Linked DNA regions of Macaca mulatta. The main gene of each other region encodes a partner of the protein of the gene in region 2 in a complex. Links are inferred from orthologs where the notes say so. Each region holds a gene or a part of one and is shown on either strand. Other genes may lie near its edges.

What was found.
Region 1: DHX16 (region 2) and SNRNP40 share a complex: the UniProt entries of both Homo sapiens proteins name them as parts of the minor spliceosome. The link is inferred for Macaca mulatta from reciprocal best matches to the Homo sapiens genes DHX16 and SNRNP40.
Region 3: DHX16 (region 2) and PLRG1 share a complex: the UniProt entries of both Homo sapiens proteins name them as parts of the minor spliceosome. The link is inferred for Macaca mulatta from reciprocal best matches to the Homo sapiens genes DHX16 and PLRG1.
Region 4: DHX16 (region 2) and CRNKL1 share a complex: the UniProt entries of both Homo sapiens proteins name them as parts of the minor spliceosome. The link is inferred for Macaca mulatta from reciprocal best matches to the Homo sapiens genes DHX16 and CRNKL1.

What each region holds. Positions count from the first base shown.
Region 1 is NC_133406.1:209,565,245-209,569,605, forward strand, and holds the start of SNRNP40 (U5 small nuclear ribonucleoprotein 40 kDa protein), read left to right. Parts: upstream 1-1,510; 5' UTR 1,511-1,522; coding exon 1,523-1,663; intron 1,664-4,361. Other genes in the region: ZCCHC17 (zinc finger CCHC domain-containing protein 17), read right to left, coding at 513-524, 1,073-1,192. UniProt on the Homo sapiens protein: Required for pre-mRNA splicing as component of the activated spliceosome. Component of the U5 small nuclear ribonucleoprotein (snRNP) complex and the U4/U6-U5 tri-snRNP complex, building blocks of the spliceosome.
Region 2 is NC_133409.1:152,373,106-152,377,435, forward strand, and holds the start of DHX16 (pre-mRNA-splicing factor ATP-dependent RNA helicase DHX16), read left to right. Parts: upstream 1-1,529; coding exon 1,530-1,736; intron 1,737-3,139; coding exon 3,140-3,387; intron 3,388-3,470; coding exon 3,471-3,633; intron 3,634-3,973; coding exon 3,974-4,030; intron 4,031-4,330. UniProt on the Homo sapiens protein: Required for pre-mRNA splicing as a component of the spliceosome. Contributes to pre-mRNA splicing after spliceosome formation and prior to the first transesterification reaction.
Region 3 is NC_133410.1:163,136,344-163,139,906, reverse strand, and holds part of PLRG1 (pleiotropic regulator 1), read left to right. Parts: exon of another isoform or gene 1-24; intron 25-1,783; coding exon 1,784-1,876; intron 1,877-3,431; coding exon 3,432-3,563. UniProt on the Homo sapiens protein: Involved in pre-mRNA splicing as component of the spliceosome. Component of the PRP19-CDC5L complex that forms an integral part of the spliceosome and is required for activating pre-mRNA splicing.
Region 4 is NC_133415.1:63,982,893-63,986,455, reverse strand, and holds part of CRNKL1 (crooked neck-like protein 1), read right to left. Parts: intron 3,094-3,563; coding exon 2,902-3,093; intron 2,205-2,901; coding exon 2,145-2,204; intron 1,347-2,144; coding exon 1,266-1,346; intron 381-1,265; coding exon 141-380; intron 1-140. UniProt on the Homo sapiens protein: Involved in pre-mRNA splicing process. As a component of the minor spliceosome, involved in the splicing of U12-type introns in pre-mRNAs.

The DNA.
Region 1 (4,361 bases), on a different chromosome or scaffold from region 2:
GAGTTACCTTTGATTCCTGTCTTCACTCACTAAAATCAACCCTTCACCAAGTTCCGCCCATTTTACCTCCTACATACCTCTAGAATCTGTCCAATTCTCTGCAGTTCCACCCACTTCTCAGTCCTCACTGACATCTCTGACCAGGATTACTGTATATCCTAAGTGGTCCACATGTATCGACTAGGGCTTCCCCAGCCCCAATCTGTTCACACCACTGAGCCTGAGAAATCAAGCCCCCTCCTCCACCACACCCCACCGGGGGAAGACGGCTCAGTGGTATCCCATCCGTTTTAAAATAAAGCTACAAATTCCTGCAAGGTCTGACCGCTATCACGTACAGCTTCATCTTGTACCATACTCCCCTTCATTCTCTTTGTATCAGTCACACTGGCTCTTTGTGCTTTTAGTCATTTTTCCTCCCAAGTGCCTCAGGGCTCTGAACAAGTAGTTCTCTACGGAAGGTTCTGCCTTTACCTCTTCACTTAATTAATTACAATTCTTCCTGCAGCTACCAGAGCAGGCATCTTTTCCTCTGAAAAACCTTCCTGCTTATTTCAGGCACTCAGCATCAAACAGCACTAGGAGGCATTTCCATGTATTAGTGAGGTCATTGTTTAACGTTTTCCCCACCAGACTTAAACGCCCTGAGAGTAGGGACCGTGTCTGGTTCACGACGTACCCCCAACGCGCTGCTAAATAAATATCAGCTGGACGACTGACGCAATGACCACGTTCATGGGCATGAGTCTCAAATTTCTCAACAAGACTGCGCTCTGGAGAAGGAGTCGGACATTTCCTTCATCATTGTCTCTCTCAGGGGGGCAGAGACTAGGCCCTAATCAAAAACTGCAAAATCAGTGGCAGAAACAAGTCAGCCTCCTCGGCCAAACGGGGCGCCGGAGGAAGTTGGGACACAGGCCTTTCTCCCTGGGAATGCCCGGCACAGGACTGGCCACGACGGGCGCTCTTGAAGAAGGGAGCCGCAGGGACTGGGTCTTGCCGCCAGAGACCCCCAAGGCTCCGCTCCCGCCCGGAAAGGGAGCCCATGCTACTACTTACCACAGCTGGGGACTCGGGGCCCCGCCTCCCACCCCTTGCTATCGGCACCCTCAGCTGAGAAGGGCAGCTTCAGACTGCACAACCGAGGCGTCGCCTTCAGACTCAGGCTGCCACCCACCCAGCTCTTCCTCATACGTACTAGGCGTCAGCTCCAGGCCCCCGAGTCCCGGCGCTGAACTAAACGCCGAGCCCAGTCAGCCAGCGCGTTTCCACCCACAAGACCCAGCGCGCCTAGGGAGGTCGCCAGCTCCGTCCACCAATCCTGGAATCGCACTCTCATGACGTCAGAAAGATATGCCCAATAACAAGAGACTATCCGAGGGCAGTGCAAATGGGTATATTGAAAACCGATTGGTTCTTCCAAGCTGGAAGTTGTGGAGGAAGGACTAAGCTGGAACCAATTGCGTGGCGCCTGAGGGGGGCAGCGCGGTCAGTGGCGGCGCTGAAGAGACCGGTTGCCGCCATGATAGAACAACAGAAGCGTAAGGGCCCAGAGTTGCCGCTGGTTCCAGTCAAGCGGCAGCGGCATGAGTTGCTACTGGGAGCGGGGTCGGGCCCGGGAGCCGGGCAGCAGCAGGCGACGCCGGGAGCTTTGCTGCAAGCGGTAAGTGAAGAAGCAGGCGGCCTTTGGCCCTCAGCTCATCTTCCTCCCCTCAGAGCGCTGTATCTGGTGACCCGGCACCGACCCTTCCCGCATTGCGGGGGGCAGAACGAGAGTTTCTACCTAGAGTTAAAGCACACCAACATTGTAAAAGCGCCTCATAGCCTGCGGATGCTCAGTACTTGTTCGCCCGTTTGGCGCTGGTTTTCAGCCTCTCGACTGCCTTGTGAGGTAGCGTTAGAATTAGCGTTGAGAACCTTGGGCTCACAACCCGGACCCGGGCTTAAGCATCCTGACTCTAACATGGATCTAGCGTAGAACAGAAATTCCGAAGACTTTGTAGAATGAATGAATGAGGGAGGGAGGAAAAGAGGGAAATGATTGGTGTTGGCTCGTTTTGGGACTTTGGGCAAGTTGCTTTTCCCTTTATTTCTCTGCACTAGTATTATTAACAACTGAATAGCAGCTAACATTCGTTGACTCTTGTACTAAGGTGTTTCGTATATGAAATTTCCATTGATCTTGGTAGCAGCCTGTTAGGAACGTTATTAACCCATTTTGCAGATGGAAAAGCAGACTTATCAAGCACGTGATAGAAACAGATGTTGAACTGAGAAACCATGCTCCTAACTATATTTTTTGTAAGATGGAAATAGTGATCACACTTCTAATGCCCTGTTTAGGCTCAGACGAGGAAATACGAGTGTCCTCTCATCTCCTCAATAAATCCTGCTGGCACCGTTCTCAAAATAGATCTAGAATTGCTACTTCTACCATTTCCATCACTGCCTCATGGCCTAAGCCGTTATTATCTCATCTGGCATTTTTGTAGTGGGACCCTAACTGGTCTTCCACTTTCTGCCTTTGTAGCAGCACCTGTTACCAAGCCAATAACCAAAGGAATCCTTCTAAACAACGGATCACATTACATTCTGCAGAAAACTTTCTGGTGGCTTTCTACTTCATCCAGAGTAAAAACCAAAATTCTTATAATTATTTGTCCTCTTTCCCTTTACCTCTCTGACCAATTTCTCATTGCTCACCCGGCTTCAGTTACACTCTCTTCCAAACCTCTGCCTCTGGACCTTTGCATTTGCTGTCCTCCCTATGGGATTGCTCTTCCCAAATGTTCACATGGTTTATTATTCAGCTCCTGCGAATATTTGCCCAAATATAATTTTTTCAGTGAGGGTTTTCCTGACCACCCTGTTTTAAATTGCAGTACCACATAATGTGGAACCCACATTGCTTCTCTCTCTCTCTCTCTCTCTCTCTCTCTCTCTCTCTCTCTCTCTTTTTTCTTTTGAGATAGAATCTCTCTGTGTTGACCACTGGCTCGCTGCATCCTCCGCCACCAGGGATCAAGTAATCCTTCTGCCTCAGCCTCCTGAATAGCTGGGACCACAGACACAGACCACCACACCTAATTGTATTGTATTTTTTTGTAGAGACAGGATTTCACTCCTGAGCTCAAGCAATCTGCACACCTTGGCCTCCCAAAGTGCTGAGATTACAGGCATGAGCCACCTTGCCCATCCCTTCTTTTTTTCTATAGCACATGACACCAAGTATATATTTTGCTTGTTTTCTCTCACCTTCTCTCCTCCCTTCCCCCTTTCCCACTGGAACAGCAAGCTCCATTGTTTATTTTGTTCATAGCTGTTTGCCCAGTGCCTAGCACATAACTTTTTATTTTTAAGATGGGATTTTGCTTTTGTCACCCAGGCTGGAGTGGAATGGCGCGATCTCAGCGCACTACAACCTCCGCCTCCCGGGTTCAAGCGATTCTCCTGCCTCAGCCTCCCGAGTGGCTGGAATTACAGGCGCCCACCACCACGCCTGGCTAGTTTTTGTGTTTTTTTAAGTACAGATGGGGTTTCACCATGTTGGTCAGGCTGGTCTCAAACTCTTAACCTCAAGTGATCTGCCCACCTCAGCCTCCCCAAGTGCTGGGATTACAGGTGTGAGCCACCGTGCCCAGCCTGCACATAACATTTTTTAAAACTAAATGAATGTGGCGGGGCTTGGTGGCGGGCACCTGTAATCCCAGCCACTCAGGAGGCTGATGCAGGAGAATCGCCTGAACCCAGGAGGCGGAGTTTGCAATGAGATGAGATCATGCCATTGTACTCCAGCCTGGGCAACAGAGCAAGACTCCTTCCCAATAAATAAATAAGTAAGAATGTGCTGGAAAGTGCTGAAGAGATTTGGGGATTATGGGTAGTATACTTCTCCCATTTGACAAGTGAGCATATCAGCCCATGTTTAGATGAATTGCCCAAGTGTCATCTTAGTGTCCAAGACCATAATCAAAACTACTTCACCCGTGCTGAGGATCCCTTCGCTATGAAAAAAATAAGAAAGAAAAATAGGCCATGCGCAGTGGCTCATGCCTGTAATCTCAGCACTCTGGGAGGCCAAGGCAGGCAGATCACTTGAGGCTGGGAGTTTGAGACCAGCCTGGCCAACATGGTGAAACCCCATCTCTACTAAAAATGCAAAAACTAGCTGGGCATGGTTGTGCATGCCTGTAATCTTGGCTGCTCGGGAGGCTGAGGCACCAGATCCCTTGAACCCAGAAAGCAGAGGTTGCAGTGAGCCGAGATCACGCCACTGCATGCCAACCTGGGTGACAGAGCAAGACTGTGTCTCAAAACACACACACAAAAAATAAAACAAAACTATTTCACCCAGTACTCCG
Region 2 (4,330 bases):
CATGTTGCCCAGGCTGGTCTCAAACCCCTGTTCTCAAGAGATCCTCCTGCCTCAGCCTCCCAAAGTGCTGGGATTATAGGAAGAGCCACTGCACCTGGCCTTGCTTACTTTTAAATAAGCAGCCACCAGTGATTTTCTCAAGATGTTAGCAAAAATGCAGAAAACAGTTTGCCTGTTCCTTAGTTTGGAGATTTTGTCTTTAACAATTTTCCTGGGCTGGGCGCGGTGGCTCAAGCCTGTAATCCCAGCACTTTGGGAGGCCGAGACGGGCGGATCACAAGGTCAGGAGATCGAGACCATCCTGGTTAATACGGTGAAACCCCGTCTCTACGAAAAAGTACAAAAAACTAGCCGGGCGAGGTGGCGGGCGCCTGTAGTCCCAGCTACTTGGGAGGCTGAGGCAGGAGAATGGCGTGAACCCGGGAGGCGGAGCTTGCAGTGAGCTGAGATCCGGCCACTGTGCTCCAGCCTGGGTGACAGAGCGAGACTCCGTCTCAAAAAAAAAAAAAAAAAAAAAAAAAAAAAAAAAAAAAATTTTCCCCAGTTCCCCAGTTTCTTCCTGCCTAGAGGTCTTCCCTTATGCCTGACCTGTCTTCACTCCTGCTGCAGGCAAACCAATCCTAGCAAAGGTCACTTTTTTGTTTGTTTGAGACAGAGTCTTCCTCTGTCGCTCAGGCTGGAGTGCAGTGGTGGGATCTCGGTTCACTGCAAGCTCCGCTTCGCAGGTACAAACGATTCTCCTGCCTCAGCCTCCCGAGTACCTGGGGCTGCAGGCGCACGCCACCACACCCGGCTAATTTTTATATTTTTAGTAGAGACAGGGTTTAGCCATCTTGGCCAGGCTGGCCTCGAACTCCTGACCTCAAGTGATCTGCCCGTCTTGGCTTCCCAAAGTGCTGGGATTACAGGCGTGAGCCACCGCGCCCGGCCAACACGGCTAATATGCTTCATGAGCATGGACCCCATCTTCCAATCTGAAATAGAATTTCGGTTGTCCCTTACTTTGCAGAGTTTTTGGCGCTATAAAACTTCCATACTTTATTTATTATGTATCCTGTCCCTCCCCCACCGCAAAATGTAAATTTGGTAAGGAACTTTTGATTTGTCCTCTGCTAGATCCCAGCGACGGAAAGCAATGAGCACACATTAGGCCTCCATTAAATTGATTTCACTTGTTGAATGAATGCGTTAGGGAAGCACTCACGGACTGACCATCAGGGGGCGTCAGAGAAACTGGATAGAGGCGGAAATGAAGAAAAAAGAATTACTCCGAACTTTCAGGCATGGTTCCGCGAGGTTTGAACTCGCTCGGCCACCGTAGTGCTTAGAGGCCGGAAAAAGTGCAGCCCCTTCCGGGCTTTGCGGTACCGGACGACGGCTTTGGGATGTCGGAAATTGATCCTAGAGGTCCCAAGGTAGCCGCCTTGCGAAGCTGAGGCTCCAGCCGAGGGCTCCAGGCCTCCGACTGGCCCAGCAGTGAACGGGGCTGCCCGACGCTTCAGGGCTGGGAGCAGGGAGCGTGGGTCGCCATGGCGACGCCGGCGGGGCTGGAGCGCTGGGTTCAGGACGAGCTGCACTCGGTGTTGGGGCTGAGCGAGCGGCACGTCGCCCAGTTCCTGATCGGTACTGCACAGCGCTGCACGTCGGCCGAGGAGTTCGTGCAGCGCCTACGAGACACTGATACTTTGGATCTCAGTGGGCCGGCCCGGGACTTCGCCCTGAGACTCTGGAACAAGGTGTCGGCAGGGTGGGGAGGGGTCCTGTGATTTGTCCCGATGAGGCTGGCCTAACGGTCCATCGAGGAGTTAAGAAAGCTCAGTTCACAAGCACTTATTCTTTGTCCGTTGTCGCCTAGGTACTGTGCTAGCTGCTGGACGCCCAGCTCAGTGGAGAAGATTGAGGAGGGCTTAGGTGTGTCGGGTTAAACGCAATAGAACGGTGTTTTTCGAACTCTTAACATGCATCCAGGGCCCTTGTTAAAATGCAGATTGCGATTCAGTAGGGATCTTAGTTTCTGCATTTCTTTCTTTTTCTTTCTTTCTTTCCTTTTTTTTTTTTTTTGAGAGACACAGCCTCGCTCGCCCTGTCGCCCAGGCTGGAGTGCGGTCATAAGATCACGGCTCACTACAGCGTCGATCTCCCTGGCTGAAGCGACCCTCCCATCTCATCTTCCCCAGTAGCTGGGACTATGGGCATGCGCCACCACCCCCGGCTAATATCTTTCATTTTTATTTTTATTTTTAGAGACGAGGCCTTGGTGTGTTGCGCAGGCTGGTCTCTAACTCCTCAGCTCAAGCAGTCCTCCTCTCTCAGCCCCGCAAAGTGCTGGGATTACAGGCGTGAGCCACCTTGCCCGTCCCCCCTCAGCTTCTGAACTTCCTTTCAGCCGTTTAATTAACAGAGGAGGCCCGGTGCAGTGGCTCACACCTGTAATCCCAGCACCCCAGAAGGCTGAGGCAGGAGGATCATTTGAGCCCAGGAGTTCGAGACCAGCCTGGGCAACATAGTGAAACCTCCCTACAAAAAATTTAAAAATTAATTGGGCGTTGTAGTGTGCACCTGTGTTTCCAGCTACTTAGGAGCCTGAGGTGGGAGGATCACTTGAGCCCAAGAGGGACAGAGTGAAACCCTGTCTGTAAAAAAAGCCAAAAAGCTGTGGGCCCCATTCAGGATGATAAACATGGGGTGAAGCCATGAGGAAGACAGAATGAAGGCTGGTTAGCTGGTTTAAAACTAAGTAATTGTGCCCGGGTGCGGTGGCTCACGCCTGTAATCCCAGCACTTTGGGAGGCCCAGGCAACTGGATCATGAGGTCAGGAGTTTGAGACCAACCTGGCCAACATGGTGAAACCTCATCTCTACTAAAAATACAGAAATTAGTCAGGTGTGGTGGCAGGCGCCTGTAATCCCAGCTACTTGGGAGGCTGAGGCAGGAGAATTGCTTGAACCTAGGAGGTGGAGGTTGAAGTGAGCCGAGATCACACCATTGCACTCCAGCTCCGGGTGACAGACCAAGACTCCATCTCGGCGGGCGGGGGGAGACTAAGTAATTGCTTAAATTAGGAACAGAGCTAGAGCTAAGTGGGAGGGCAGAGATCAGGAGTTGCTCAGACCTCCTTATCTTCCCCTCTACTGACAGGTACCACGAAAGGCAGTGGTAGAAAAGCCAGCGCGGGCAGCAGAGCGAGAGGCCCGAGCCCTGCTGGAGAAGAACCGATCTTATAGGTTGTTGGAAGACAGTGAAGAGAGCAGTGAGGAGACTGTGAGTAGGGCTGGAAGCAGCCTCCAGAAGAAACGTAAAAAGCGGAAACACCTCAGGAAGAAGCGTGAGGAAGAGGAGGAAGAAGAGGAGGAAGAGGCTTCTGAGAAAGGGAAGAAGAAAACAGGGTAAGTCAGAAGCAGGGCGAGGGAGGATGGGGCAGGCTGAAGTGTGCTCGATGCCCTTATTTAATCCCCTGGATGGGCTGCAGGGGGAGTAAACAGCAGACAGAGAAGCCAGAGTCAGAAGATGAGTGGGAACGGACAGAGCGTGAGCGCCTTCAGGACCTGGAGGAGCGTGATGCCTTTGCTGAGAGGGTTCGACAGCGGGACAAGGATCGGACTCGAAATGTCCTGGAGCGGTCAGACAAGAAGGTGAACAGGAGCAGCACGTTCTGTAAATCCCCAAGATCCCAGGGTGAAATGTGAGGTTGGCTGTGATTGCAGAGATGGTGATCTCTGGGAAGACAAGGGGCTTTCTCTAGTGAGATGTTCACCTCTGTGGGGAGAGATGAGGTGAGAGAAGCCCTGTGCATCCTGTGGCTAAGGCAACTCTCTACTGTATCTGCAATCGTACAGATCCCTCACTGAGAGGGGACATTTTTTGTGTTAGGGTACATCTGAATGATCCTTGTGATTCTAAAGAGGAGCAGCTGTCAGTGTGGGGGCTCTTTGGCCTCACACCCCTCCATTCTTGTTTTTTTTTTTTTTCTAGGCTTATGAAGAAGCTCAGAAGCGCCTCAAGATGGCCGAGGAGGACCGGAAGGCCATGGTGAGTCCCAGGGCCCAGGGAGCCAAGATCAGAAGACAAAAGGGAAGACCGTCTGATAGAGTGGTTACGTATAGGGAGAGAGAATACAGAGGAAGCACGGTGTGGATGCTGATGGAGTGGTCAGGTCTCTAGAGGAGGGGCTTGGTTGTCAGGAGCCAGCTGAGGACAGACTTATGTTGTCGAGGGAAGGAGCCCTCTTAAGTTGTAGGGGAAAGGAGGCTACCCATAAGTCCTCCTTGACTCTTAACTTTAGGATCAAACATACTCTATTAGTGAATGAAGTTGTGAGCTTTCCCTATT
Region 3 (3,563 bases), on a different chromosome or scaffold from region 2:
ATTCGTAAAGTGTTCCATACTGTTTATTTTGCATTGCTTGCCTGTATCAAAATATCTCATGTACCCCATAAATATATTTCTACTGCGTACCCACAAAAATTAAACACAAAATTTTAAAAAAGAAAGTGTACATAGTAGAAAATGTACAACTACACGTAATTTAATATATATTTTCCCCATAAATATATTTCTACTGCGTACCCACAAAAACACAAAATTTTAAGAAAGTGTACATAGTAGAAAATGTACAACTACACGTAATTTAATATATATTTTAAAATTTTTATTTTTCAAATGATTGTACAGCAAGAGCTTTTTGTTTGACATACAGGTCTAATGAATTGTAATAGATGTATTGATTTGGGTAACCACTACCACAATTAGGATATAGACATTACGTCACCTCAAAAAACACCCCTGTGCTATTTTTTTGTAGTTATATCTTCCTTCACCTCTGACAATCACTGATCTGTTTTCTATCACTATAGTTGTCTTATTTTTTTTCAATAATTTCAGTTCTAATTTATTTTTAATTTTTATGGCTAACATAATAGATGTGCATATTTATGGGCTACATATCAAATCTGATACAAGCATACAGTGTGTAGGCCAGGTATGGTGGCTCATGCCTATAATCCCAGTACTTTGGGAGGCCTAGGCAAGTGGATCTCTTGAGTCCAGGAGTTCAGTACCAGCCTGGGCAACACCACAAAATCCCGTCTACAAAAAATACAAAAATTAGCTATGTGTGGTGGTGCACACCTGTAGTTCCAGCTACTCCAGAGGCTGAAGTGGGAGGATCACTTGGGCTCAGGAGGCGGAGGTTGCAGTGAGCCGGGATCACACTGCTGCACTCCAGCCTGGGCAACACAGTGACACCCTATCTCAAAACAAGAAACAAAGAAAAAAAAGCATACAATGTGGAATGATCAAATCACAGTAATGGGGATATTTATCTCCATGGTAATTGGGATATTATTTCTTTGTATTAGGAACATTTCATTTTACTCTTCTAGTTATTTTGATATATACAATAAATTATTCTTAGCTATAGTCACCCTATTGTGCTACCAAGCTAACTAGCCAAACTAGTGCTACCAAACACTAAATCTTACTCCCTTTATCTAACTGTATTTTTATACCCATTATCCACTCCCTCTTTATCCTCTGCCTCCCTACTATTCTTCCCAACCTCTATTAGCCATCATTCAACTCTCAAGATCATTTATTTTTTAGCTCCCATATATGAGAGAGAGCATGCAGTACTTGTGTTTCTGTGCCTGGCTTATTTCACTTAACATAGTATCTTCCAGTTCCATCCTTCTTGTTGCAAATGACAGAATTTCATTCTTTTTAATGGCTGAGTAGTATTCCATTGTGTGTATGTACCACATTTTATTTATTCATTCACCTCTTGATGGACACTTAGGTTGGTTTAGCTTTGTCTTTTTGACTATGTCATATAAATGGAATCATACAAAATGTGCTTTTTGAGATTGGCTTCCTTCACACAGCTTAATACCTTTGTGAGTCACTGAAGTTGTTGCAAGTATTAATAATGTATTCCTTTTTATTACTGAGTAGTATACATTATATAGATGAGCCACAATTTGTGTATCTATTAACTTGTTGAAGATAATTTAATATTGTAAAATATAACAGTCAAATTATCTTTTAAATTTATGATTTGAAGATGGGAGGGCAATTCAAACTCAGGCTGCAGTTAAACTTAAAAACATTTTAACTTGTATGTTAGCCGCCCGTTCTACTTTGTTTTATACAGGTTATCAGTGGGCATCTTGGCTGGGTTCGATGTATTGCTGTGGAACCTGGAAATCAGTGGTTTGTTACTGGGTCTGCTGACAGAACTATAAAGGTAATAATGAGGGAAGAAAAAATAAACATGACTTTGTGTTTGTCATGTAAGTTTAATCAGTTACTATTTCCTGTGGCAGGAATTGCTATTGCAGTTCCTCTGTTATTTTAGACCTGAATAAGGAGTAAAATTTATCATTTATACGAGTAAGTGTTCTAAATAAATATCTGTTTGAAAAGTGGTATTTAAACCACTTTTTCTTTACCTGCTGAATACCTACCACTAATTCCTTTATACTTACATTTTTGTCTCCAACTGGTTACAAAATTAAGAGCGTGCTCATTCATAGAAAATGTGGAAAATATAGAGAATTATGAAAGTACATAGACCTGTGTATAATCCTACCATTGTTAGATACTTGGATAAGTTTCATTTTAGTATTTATTTCTGTAAGTATAAATGCCTTTACTTCTAAGCTCTTTTCTTGTGTGTGTATCTTTTAAAAATCATTCTTAGTATGTAATTTTGTATCTTGCTTTTTCCCTTAACATTTTATCAAAGGCATATTCCTGTGAAAAATTTACTATCTTTTAAAGTGCCTGCATAATATTGTATCATTTGGATAGTCTATAATCTGTTTTCCTATTGTTGGATGGTAGAGTTTTTAGTCTGATTTTCACCATTACAAGTAATGCTGTTAAGTTTTGTATATAAGACTTTTTCTGTGTTTTAAATTATTTTGTTATGGTAGAGTTCCCTAAATGTAATAAATGGGTCAAATATTTTTGAAGCCGATACCCAAAGTACAAATTACTTTCCAAATGGGTGAATGGATACTTGCAGTGTATGGGAGGATCCTTTTCAGCACATTGGTTGTACATTCCTTTACAAATATCTAATATGGTAAGCAAAAATGGATACTTAATCTTTTTTTAAAAGTTTGTATAGGCTGGGCGCAGTGGCTCACGCCTGTAATCCCAACACTTTGGGAGGCTGAGGCGGGCAGATCATGAGGTCAGGAGATCGAGACCAGCCTGCCTAACACGGTGAAACCCCGTCTCCACTAAAAAATGCAAAAAATTAGCTGGGCATGGTGGTGGGCGCCTGTAATCCCAGCTACTTCAGAGGCTGAGGCAGGAAAATGCCGTGAACTCAGGAGGTGGAGCTTGCAGTGAGCTGAGATCGCGCCACTGCACTCCAACCTGGGCGACAGAGTGAGACTCTGTCTCAAAAAATAAATAACTAAAAAGTTTGTATAAAATTTCTAATGAGTTTGAACTTTTTCATATCTGTATTTGCTGCTTTTAGGGTTTCTTTAAGTTGTTGCCATCCTCGGTTAATTTAATACCATACTTTTCATACTATTATTATCAAAGATTCCATTTATATAACAAGAAGGTTAACCTGTCATCTAATTGCAAATATTTTTCCAGTTTGAGCATGCCAGTTTTTTTCTTGCTTTTATTTGGAGAGGAGTCATTTTACAAAATTTTTTATTTTTACATATTCGTTATCTTTTTCCTCTTCTCTTTGAAAACTCAATTTTAATAATAAAGATTCTAAAATTTTGCTTTGCGGTAACCAGGGAAAGAAAAAAAATATTCTTTGATTGCAGATCTGGGACTTGGCTAGTGGCAAATTAAAACTGTCATTGACTGGGCATATTAGTACTGTGCGGGGCGTGATAGTAAGCACGAGGAGCCCATACCTGTTCTCTTGTGGAGAAGACAAACAAGTAAAATGCTGG
Region 4 (3,563 bases), on a different chromosome or scaffold from region 2:
CACATACAAGCCTAATCTGAGCAGAAGAGACTAAGTTAGCTAGATCATCTTTATACTCTAAAATACACCCACATTTAGACGGTCATCTAAAGTAAGACTAAACAAGTATCTTAAAATGGTATTTGACTTGAGATGCTCACCTCTGGCATGTCTAAACGTGGCTGACTGATGGCTAATTCATAGATTGCCCGTGCTCTGTCAATATCACCAAGGATTGTCTCTAATTCAGCAAATTTAATCCACGAGGTACAATTTTCAGGTCCGAATTCCAGGAACTTTTCATAAAGCTTCCGGCATCTGTCAAATTCTCGAAGCTGTAGCTCCAACTCTATGTAAACTTTAAATAATTTGTTTTTTGGACATTTGCCTATGGAAGTTCCCTGGAAAATAAAATAACCAGACCACTATGATACTGTAGTGGATTCAATTTGTGCAGTTATTGCACTGCCCTAGAGGCTGTCCTCTGCTGAGGAAGAATCTTGCAAAGTCAACGTGGCCTACCGTTCTTTCCCTCTGTGGTATCACAATGTTTACTGATTCTTGACAAAAGGCTGAAGGAAACTCCTCTAATTCATTCAGCAAGAGGCAGTGTTCCAGAATTGTTTGGGCAACTAAATAAAATAAGATTTGAAAGTTTCTCAGGATCTCCTAGGGAATATGGATGTCAGATGCATAACACCTCCTATAAATAAAAAGGACAAGGCATGGTGGCTCATGCCTGTAATCCCAGTATTCTGAGAGGCCAACGTGGGAGGATTATTTCAGCCCAGGAGGCAGAGTTTGCAGTGAGCCAAGATTCCAAGATTGTGCCACTGCATTCCAGCTTGCGGAACAGAGCGAGACCCTGTCTCAAAAAAAAAAAAAAAACAAAAAAACAAAACAAAACAAAAAAAACCAATAAACAGGAAAAGGAAAAAAAAAAAGGAAAAAAAAAAGTAGAACAATTAAAAGTGCGTTTAATACACCAAAAAGCTTGCACAGGATCAGATTACCAATTCTAGTCTGTGGAAAGATCTAGTAACCGGTAGCTAGAGAAGTTTCCAATATTGAAACAAAATGTAATTTACCCCAGGTAATAAGAATAATTTACGCATTATTAGTCAGTGTTTTTACAGAGGATGCATATTTTCTAACATGTCCCAGGCTATAAAGGTATAATACTTCTGTCACTTTCTAAAGTAGGAATTGTATAACTTCCAAGCACCAAGACTTTAATTTCTTTCTCATAGAACTTAATCAGACATCTTGATCCTTTCTTTACTTACCAATGCTCTTCTGGCTAATGACAGATTCTTCTGTCGTATTTCAAACTGTGCATACAGTATCCACATTTTGGCAAATGTGAACTAGAAAACAAAAGCACAAAAATATCTAGCTTAAAAGCCTCATCCAAATTAAATTGAATTAAAGTAAATTTAAATTAACCAAGGCCATTGGTAATTCTATTTCTCTAAAACTTCAGAGTAAGAGGAATGTACTCTGCTTATTTACAAGCAAAAAAGACCACATTCATTTCACAAAAGCTAGAAACCCACATCCCATGATCCAGATACTGCACTGTACTGCCTGGCATGGTAGCCTCTCCTCAGAATCATGATCCAAATACTGTACTGTACTGCATGGCACGATAGCCTCTACTCAGAACAGACTTTGTTTTGTAGGCATGCTTGTATGTGGGCAGAATGTCCTACCTCTATTCTGAAAAGTAACTCTGTCAACACTTCTACAGAAAGAAACACGTTTTGTTTCTCGTGCTGGGAAACAAGGCAGAGGTAACATCTCAACCATCTACACAAGGGGCACATTGATCTGGGCATGGACACACTCGCTGTTACCAACAAATCTGCCTCTGTGTCCCCGACACATGTTGTGTGCTCTCTGCATGGAAATCTTTCTCCCTCCACTCAGACTATTCAAATTACCTAGCCTTCTCTGAATTTCCTTTGTTTGTCAATGCAGGCAGTCCTCCGACCTAGACTGTGAGCTGTGTTCAGAGGCAAGGTGCATATCTCAGTTTTACTTACGTTGTCCATGGTGGGTCAGGGAAATATTTTATCAATCAATATTATTTCACTGAGTTACTTCACAAGTAACAGAAGAGGATTCCGACCTGTTTGAAATGGAACACTTTAGAGCAAACATACCTTTTTGTGAGGAATGAGTTCCAAAGAGGCTTGATACACCTGTCTTGTCCTCTCAGGATCCTGTATTAGGATAAGAAATTTTCACAAAATACTGAAGTCTGCTGCTAACACTCATTTTACTAGTTACTAATTTTGCTGATACTAGTAAAAAGGTACATCCCCAAAACTGAGTATGTTTCACAAGTTGTTACTTGCCAACCCTGATTTATGATCTAAAGTATGAACGGCCATGAAACTTCAGTTTAAGAATCACCAACAAGACACCAAACTCTAAGCCCTTCTTTGTAGAAAGCCTTTTTGCCTGATGGCAGAAAGAAACAAAGACATTTCGTAGTCTCAGATCAAACCCAGAAAGTTAATACAAATGATTTCTGAAAATGCCACTTGAGTTTTCCTAAAAGCAAAAATGCATAATCTAGCCATAATTACCCCTATTAATGAGCAAATCCAGGAAACTATATTTAATTAAACTAAGGGCTGGTTCACCGTTCTCTTTCAAGTTCCAAGTGATATCTTGTTGTGCCTCAAGTAAAAATCAAACCAAAATAAGAAAAGCCCCTCACGTGTGGCCATAACAAGCACAGAGAGTTTAAAATGTTGCAGAGTGAACATCTAACTGTATGGCTTGAACAGAAGCCTATAAAAATTTAAAACTAAATTTCCTTGTTTCAAGAATTATAAATATCCACAATAGGTGAGCTGTGAATACAGAGCAGAGGAAACCATTAACAGCTGACACATAATTCTGTTTTTTCACCTTTGCCTCCAATTCTTCATAGAGTGCATAGTTGATCCAAAGATAAATGTAGCGCTTCCAGTGCCTCTTCTCCTGAATGGGTGGGACATTGGCAATGGCCCTTTCATAGACTTCTCTCACGGCTTCAGCTTCTGCATCACTTTCTACCAAGCGCAAGTAATCAAACCATGCATCGTAATTGTGTGGATTCGCCTAGAAAGACAACCAGTTTAATAAATAAAAAAAAAAACCAAGAGCTGCACTTGCCAGGTTAAGCAAGCTGAAAAAAGGCATCAGGCCGACTTTCTTTATTTTAGCACCTTTTCTTCTAAATTTTACATGTTCTCTCATTTTAAAAACACCATCCCTGAGACTGCATAAATAGAAAAGACACAGGAATACAGAGGTTAGATTACTGGCCAGGTGTCCCACAGCAAGCACCCCTTCATCTATAGTCATCACTCTCATGATAGTCAATAATTAGATGCCTATTCTTACCAATGCATTTGCTTAAATATGTGACTATGTATCATTATGTCTGTAACAACAATAGAATTATATCATGCTCACAATTGTTAAACTTGCCTTTCCAATGAACAGTAATTCATCTTTCACGTATCTTGCCAACCTAGCACCACATTTAATAACAGATTTAGTCCTTTGCTTGGAGGTATCTTAATTAA